Linked DNA regions of Cricetulus griseus. The protein of the gene in region 1 purifies or fractionates together with the protein of each later gene. This does not show direct contact. Links are inferred from orthologs where the notes say so. Each region holds a gene or a part of one and is shown in the gene's direction. Other genes may lie near its edges.

Region 1 (3,520 bases):
TCTGTAAGAGACCCTGACACCAAGACACCAGGGTAGGGGCTACCCTAAGTCCTTTTGCTGCTCCACATGAGCTTAATCTTGCCTAGACAGAAGTGCAGAAGAGCCTTTGGCTCTGTGATTCTGATGGACTCAAGCTTTAGGAGTTAGAGGCTTCAGTCTCCACAATCTAAAAGGCCCCTGGAGATCACCTCGCCCTTCCAGCTTCAAACCTGGTAGTCGCCGAGTTCCTGGTACACCCTTCCCGAGTAACCCTTTGTGTGCTTCTTCTCCCAGATCAAGCTGTGGGACCTGAGGGCCACCAAATGTGTGAGGCAGTATGAAGGACACGTGAATGAGTATGCCTACCTGCCCCTGCATGTGCATGAGGAGGAAGGAATCCTAGTGGCAGGTGTGTGGGGAAGGGGCGATCCCATCCATCAAATGCTGTCTGTGAGGGTGCTCACATCTTAAACAGCAGAGGGGGAAAGTGGTATAAGTAATGGGAATTATGGGCCACTGACAGCATCACCTTAGAAACAGGCAGGTGATGGACGGACACAGCAGCTGGGGACTGAGTTGGCTTGGAGGTCAGGCCTCTTTGAGTAATGGGATCCCATCAGGCACCGTCTTGTCTAAAAGCTGTCCATTCTATTCACATTCCCCTCAGAGGATGCCGAGAAATTAAGGGTACCTAAAGTGCTTGGATCCTGGCCCCTTCACATTCCCCGTGAGCAGCAGCTATCTGGCCACTAAGCCCTGAGGGAGTTGAAGTAACTGCAGATCATACTATTTCCAGGCCACAAAACAAATTCAGTGTTTCTACATATGGAACAGGAGGCCCTTGACATGGTCTCAGTTTTTACTGGCATGTGTTAATGGCGCCACAGACAGTACTCATTCCCTGTTAAATTCTTGGGGGCTATTACTGTGCTAGCACTGGGCTTGCTCTGAAAATGGTGCGCCTCGAGTCTTCATCTCAGAAGAGTTTTCATGTGCTGGATGGTAGACTAAAGATGAGCCCGCTGAGAGCCCCACACGGTGTCTGCACAGCTGCACTAGTGAACCACACACCCCAAGTGCATCCTCTGCCAAGGCACACTAAGTACCTACAGTCACTCAATCAGAGTCTGATTGCCAAAGCCCCCACAGACCTCTAAGAGCATACAGCATCTGGGCTGCCACAATCCATGGTGTCCCATGCCACATTGCTCAGAACTAGGAGTCCCGCAGACTTTTAGCTTGAATTCTTCAACCAGAAATAGCTGTTATCTGCTCTGCCAGGATGTAACAAAGTTGAGAGATCTTCCTGGCTAGTTCATCGAAAGGAACTCAGCTGCCTGGCATCTAGATCAGGTGGGCTGACTCCCACTTGAGAAGACTCCCTACCCATGAGCCAGGGAGCCGGCTGAGCCCCTGCTGTGTCAGCCAGCCAGTACATCTTCGTCACTTTGAACACCTGCAGCTAGCTAGGATTCAGGAGCAGAAGACCAACTTGTGGTCTTAATTTTAAGAAATACCTTCCACCCATGGATTTGTGTTTGGGCTTAGTACAATCACTTGGCCCTTCGAGGTCTTAAGGAGCCCTACATGCCGTAACTTTCTTGCATTCTCTTACTAACCCGCTGTGTTGTCTTTCCTCTTTCTTAGTGGGCCAAGACTGCTACACCAGAATCTGGAGCCTCCATGACGCACACCTGCTCAGAACCATACCTTCTCCATACCCCACCTCCAAGGCTAACATTCCCAGTGTGGCCTTCTCTCCTCGCCTTGGGGGCCCCCAGGGAGCCCCAGGGCTGCTCATGGCTGTCCAGCAGGACCTTTACTGTTTCTCCTACAGCTCATTCTGTCCAGGCAATCTGGAGGAGGACAGGTGGGAATGAATGGCAGCTTCCTTCAGTCTCTAACAAGGACATTTTGTTTGGTTTTGTTGTTTGTTTTTTTTGTTTTGTTTTGTTTTTCGAGACAGGGTTTCTCTGTAGACCAGGCTGGCCTCGAACTCAGAGATCTGCCTGCCTCTCCCCCTTAGTGCTGGGATTAAAGGCGTGCGCCACCACGGCCTGACTCTAATGAGTACTTTTAAGTGGAGCTTATGGTGTCCTTCCCGCTTGAGGGCAGTGCAAAGTGGTTGACATGGGGGGCTGGAGAGATGACTCGGTTGTTAAGATCATTGGCTGCTATACAGAGAACCTGGGTTTGACTCTCAGCAACCACATAGCAACTCACAACCATCTTTGACTCCAGTCCAGAGACGCCAACACCCTCTTCTGGCCTTAGCACCAAGCATGCATGTGGTACAGACCTAACATGCAGGCAAGACACCCATACACATAAAACAAAAATAGAATTTTTTCTTAGTTTATGTGGATGAACTTCAGTAAAGCAGCAGATAAACTGTGGGCTGGGAACATGAAAGGCCTTGTCACAAGAGGGATTTACTGGATTTTCCTATTGAGTTCCATAAGCAGCAACCCCACATCCCCCACCCACACCCCCACCCCCTTCATTGGCAAAGCAGACTCTGGAATGAAGACCAGCAAAACAAAATTAGTTAAAGCTGCTGCTTTCACCAGGAACTGCCCAGTGGTGGAAACTACCTGAGTGTTGAGTGCTGCAGTCCAGGAAGACCTGTATCTGCTCTAGAGAAGGCACCTGAGGTGCAGAGGGGCCGGCTTTGAAGCCATTACACGTTGCCATCTCAGTGGCAAAAGTCCTGGGCTCTTTTGTTACTGTGCAGGCATTGGAAGGGAGACGGACCCTTGCAAATGCTACGGCTTGCAACATCCATGAACATGCCTTTCCTGAGTTATCCAGGATGTTAGGGACACTGGCTTGTTACAGTGACTTGAGTGTCAGTTCTAAAGCCCAAGGCCAAATTTGGCTTTGATCTTTTTGTAATCTTGGAGCTGCAGTTTATGAAATATTTATAGTGTCTAAAATCCTTTCTACCTACCAATAAAGTCAAAAGAAGCATGTGTGTCTCCATCTAATTCAATCTTGATCCCTTAAAGCTGGTGAACCATCAAACTAAGCTTGCCAGTAGGGTAAAGAGACCCTAAGACCAGTTTCAATGGCTTGTTGGGGACCCTGGTGTTGCCCCTCCACACCACTGCCCTGCTCTGCTCATGTTCCAGGAGGCTGCTCTCTAGACTCTCCAGCCTCCCTGTCCCCAGCAATCAGTGGGAAAGCAGAGGCCAATGGAGCACTGGGCTGGGACTGATGATCCTCTGGCTCCCTTCCTGTTGGGACTTTGAGTATCTGTGACCAGAGGCTATGGCCCTTATTGGAACACAGCTCTCTATGTCCTATGACTATGCTATTTGTCTCATACATATAATGCTTATTAGGCACAATGTTCCCCAACTAAACAACTACCCATTAAGTATTCATCTTTTTTCCCCAAGACCCCTAATATAAGCAACTTACATGTAGAATATCACTATTCTTACTATCTAAAATTTTATATGATCCTTGTAACAATTCATAAAGGACAGGGAATACAAAGTAACATATTTATATCAGTGTCATCTTACAGATGAGGAAA
Region 2 (3,822 bases), on another chromosome or scaffold:
TCAGCTTTGCTTAGATCACATATTCATCCATAAGACATGTCATGGGGCAGAGCAACAAATTTGATGAGTGACTGGGCCAAGGCAAGGGCTAACTGCTGGGCTGGTGTGAAAACAACTCTTTGAGGAGCATGGGGATTAAGCTGGAGAAGGAGGTCGTGGAAATCAATTTGATGATAAATACCAGGCAAAGAAAGGCATTAACTCAGTGTGTCCTGATACATCATTTAAAATCTAATGTGCTTATTACATGGATATATATTTAATAGGTACATATTTAAAACTTAGGGCAGCTTTTGTTTCCTGTGGTCCTGGCTGGCCTTGCAGTTGCTGTGTAGCCAAGGATGACCTTGAACTTCTTTCTGTCCCCACCCTCTCTGAGTGCTGGGATTATAGGCATGTGCTTCACATCCAGTTTTAGTGTCTGAGCCTTGGTGTAAAATGTTGGCAGTGACACTGTAAGTATTACTAAGTACACTAAGGTACTTTACATAAGTCATAACAAAGTTAGCAAGTGCCTGGCTTACAATGAAGTCTGGATGAATAATTACTAGTGTTTTGTTTGGTGCATTATATTCTTGGAAAGACTCCCTTGGCCCTATTTATTTTAAATATAATTTTGACAAGATCTGTATTACTAGAAGTAGCAGAATTAAAAAGAGAGCAGGCTGGGCACAGTGGCGTGTGTCTATAATGCCAGTCTTTGTGATTTGAGAGGTTGAGTCAAGAGGATCAGGAGTTCCAGGTCTTCCTCACCACGCTGAAAGCTAAAGGCCAGCCTGGGCCACATGGGGCCATCTTGTTTTAAACAAAAATAAAGGAGGAAAGCAATCATACTAGAAAATATTATGTATCCCGTGTGCCAAGCACTGCTAAGTGTCTTATGTATGTTGTTCCCTTAGAGACAAATATATTTATAGTCAGAAGTGACACCTGGTGGCAGGGAGAGAAAACTCTAAGACAATAGCAATAAAGGCAGTTGAATATACCTGCTTAGTCCTGTGACTGACTTTCCCTGTATTCCAGCATTGCAATATGAGGACATGAATAGTTGGGATGAGTGTAAATTATTAAGTGCCTTTACTACTAAGCTGACTCACCAGCCTGATACAGGGCCTTGCCTTATATATAGCCTTGACTAGCCTGGAACTCATACTATAGTCAAGACTGCCTTGATTACATTTATAGTTGCCAGTTTTAGATTAAAACTAAAAAGACATCTCATAGCAGCTTTTTAAAAATATTACAGTTAGCCCTTGCTAACATAGTGGTATATGCCTGTAATCAAGCCTGAGTCATTTGACACCCTGTCTCAAAACAAATAAAATGAGAATATTACAATTAAGCCTGGAGGTGTAATTTGGTGATTTGTAAAATACATACATATTTGGAAATGGTATGTGTAATAGATCCTCAAATGTAGGTATGAATGAGGACATATTGCAATACTCTGATAAGAACAGTCACAAAACTAGCTAATAATTATTAAGCCTTTCTTAGGTGCCCTGGACAGTCCTAGAGTTTTAAGGTGGAAATCATTGCCACCTACTTCCATTTTTAAGAGTTCCAGGAGGCGTGGTCCAGGCATTCCTCATAGCCTTCATAATGACAAAACTTGATTTAAGCAAAGGAAAAAATAACACATTTAATCTTGAAATTAGGTTCTAAAATTTTAAAATCAAATTGGTAGATTTTAGGAGCAGTTTTTATAGCTATGACCTAACTTCTTCACTGTCTATCCATCTTTACATTATTTAGATATAGAATGTTAAATTAATTTACATAAAAATTAGTGGATTTTGTCAGGCATGGTGGCGCATGCCTTTGATCCCAGCACCGGGAGATAGAGGCAGAGGGAATCCCTAAATTAGAGGCCAGCTTGGTCTACACAGCAAGTTCCAGAACAGCCAGGGCTACAGAGAAACCCTGTCTCAAAAAGAAAAAAAAAATTGGGTTTTTAGCCAGGTATGGTGGTACACACCTTTATTCCCAACACTAGGAATCAGAGGCAGGCAGATCTCTGTGAGTTCAAGGCTAGTCTGGTTTACATAGTAAGTTCCAGGACAGCCAGCGCTTTGTAGTGAGAGACTCTGTCTCAAAAATAAAAGCAAGTGTGTGGGGGAGTGGGTAGAATCTTGGGCAGTGGGGGTGTGGGGCTGGACAGAATGGGTGGTATACCTATAGTTCCAGCTCCTCAATAGAGTAAGGCCAACTTGGGCAACTAACAAGACCCTGTCTCAAAACAAATACAAAGGCTTGAGAGTATAATGCTGTAGTGGAGTGCTTGCTTATATCTACATGTCCCTGAAGGCAGGCTTAGCCCTGGAAAAAAAACAGAATATTTTCATGATGAGCCTATGCTGTGAAATGACATGACACCATTTTCTCCACAGAATGCAGACTATACCACTGGCCAGGTGTTTGATTTGTCTGAAAAGTTAGAGCAGTCAGAAGCCCAGCTGGGACGAGGGAGTTTCATGTTGGGTTTAGAAACACACGATCGGAAATCAGAAGACAAACTTGCCAAAGCTACTAGAGACAGGTAAGTGTTCATGTGCAGGTCCTGCCCTACTCTTCTCTCAAAATTTACAGGAAGTAAATCCTGATCCTGTGGTTCAGTCAGCTACAACTTGGGAAATGCCTGAGTATTATCACACTTTCAAATTTTAGGGGACATAAGGCAAAATAGAAAGCTCAACTCAAAGATCTAGGAATACCATAGCCACATGGTGTACAAGGAAAGCTGGCCCCTGACTAGATCTTTTTTCAGGGGAAGGGCTTCCAAAAGCATGCTTACCCTTTTCCTCGACTAAACATTTTCTGAAGAATTAACATTTCTTAAATTTGCCAAATTTCAGATTCCAGAATATTGTGGAAAAGATTCTCTCTTAAGTCGTTCTTTCTGCACTTTAGTATCTCATGTTTTACTTGCTAATTATTTCCTTGGGATGTGGTCTCTGATAACTTAGATGAGAATGTGACCATTGATGACAGAATGTACGGGTTGAAAACACTAACATTTACTGCCACAAAACCTCAAGTTTTAATCTGATACTGGCAGAAGAGAGAATATTTGGGCAGTTATAAGCTGGTTTGTTTGGTGGAGGGCGGGGGCTGTCTTCCCTCAGTTCATAGCATATTTCCACTCTTGGGATGTTTTTTTTTTTCCTTTTTCATAAGCTGTTTCTACTCCTTGCCAAACTTGAAAAGCAGAGCCTTCCTCCATCTCCTGGTGTCTGCCAGGATTTCCACCTGTACTGTGTTTTTCTCTTTAACACTAATGAAGTTGTCTTTGAGCATAAAGCAAACAAACAAAAGCACTGTTCTGTAGGGAGAAGGGAGGGGAAGGTGAAGTTTATCCTGCCACTGGAGTTAGAAGTACCTCATTCAGCTCATCCTGGTGGAGAAAGTGGCTCAGTGGCTCAGCACTTCAGCACTTCCCTGTCGGGCATAGGGCTCTGGTCCATCCCTGGCACCAAAAACCAAAACAAGAAACATGCCTTCTTTCAGAAGGTGCAGTGGCCACACATTGGCTTTGGCTGTCTCAGTGTGTGAACTCATGAATGTGTCTGCATTTGTTTTCAGTGCTGGGCATGGCACTGTGGCCTTGCTGCTGCTCTACCCTTGTCATATCCCCAGCCAATTCATTTTGAAGTAAAAGTTTCCTTACAGAACTCTTCCTTTGTTTGTCCTTTGTTTGGATTTTGTTTGTGTTGTTATCCTGTTTTCTCACGGGAATTCTTCACTTTTGTAACAACAAAGTAGGGAGATCAGCGGTAGAAATAGAAAGTAAATTACTTTAATAAAAAGTTAACTCATGTGAAT

The links.
Region 2: the proteins of Dcaf4 (region 1) and Cops5 purify together in Homo sapiens (affinity purification with mass spectrometry; 4 studies listed by BioGRID and IntAct, counting the BioPlex papers as one, with this or other methods). This does not show direct contact. The link is inferred for Cricetulus griseus from reciprocal best matches to the Homo sapiens genes DCAF4 and COPS5.

The regions. Positions count from the first base shown.
Region 1 is NC_048598.1:120,188,545-120,192,064, reverse strand, and holds the end of Dcaf4 (DDB1- and CUL4-associated factor 4), read left to right. Parts: intron 1-273; coding exon 274-388; intron 389-1,626; coding exon 1,627-1,859; 3' UTR 1,860-2,949; downstream 2,950-3,520. UniProt on the Homo sapiens protein: May function as a substrate receptor for CUL4-DDB1 E3 ubiquitin-protein ligase complex.
Region 2 is NC_048595.1:150,156,443-150,160,264, forward strand, and holds part of Cops5 (COP9 signalosome complex subunit 5), read left to right. Parts: intron 1-2,390; coding exon 2,391-2,539; intron 2,540-3,822. UniProt on the Homo sapiens protein: Probable protease subunit of the COP9 signalosome complex (CSN), a complex involved in various cellular and developmental processes.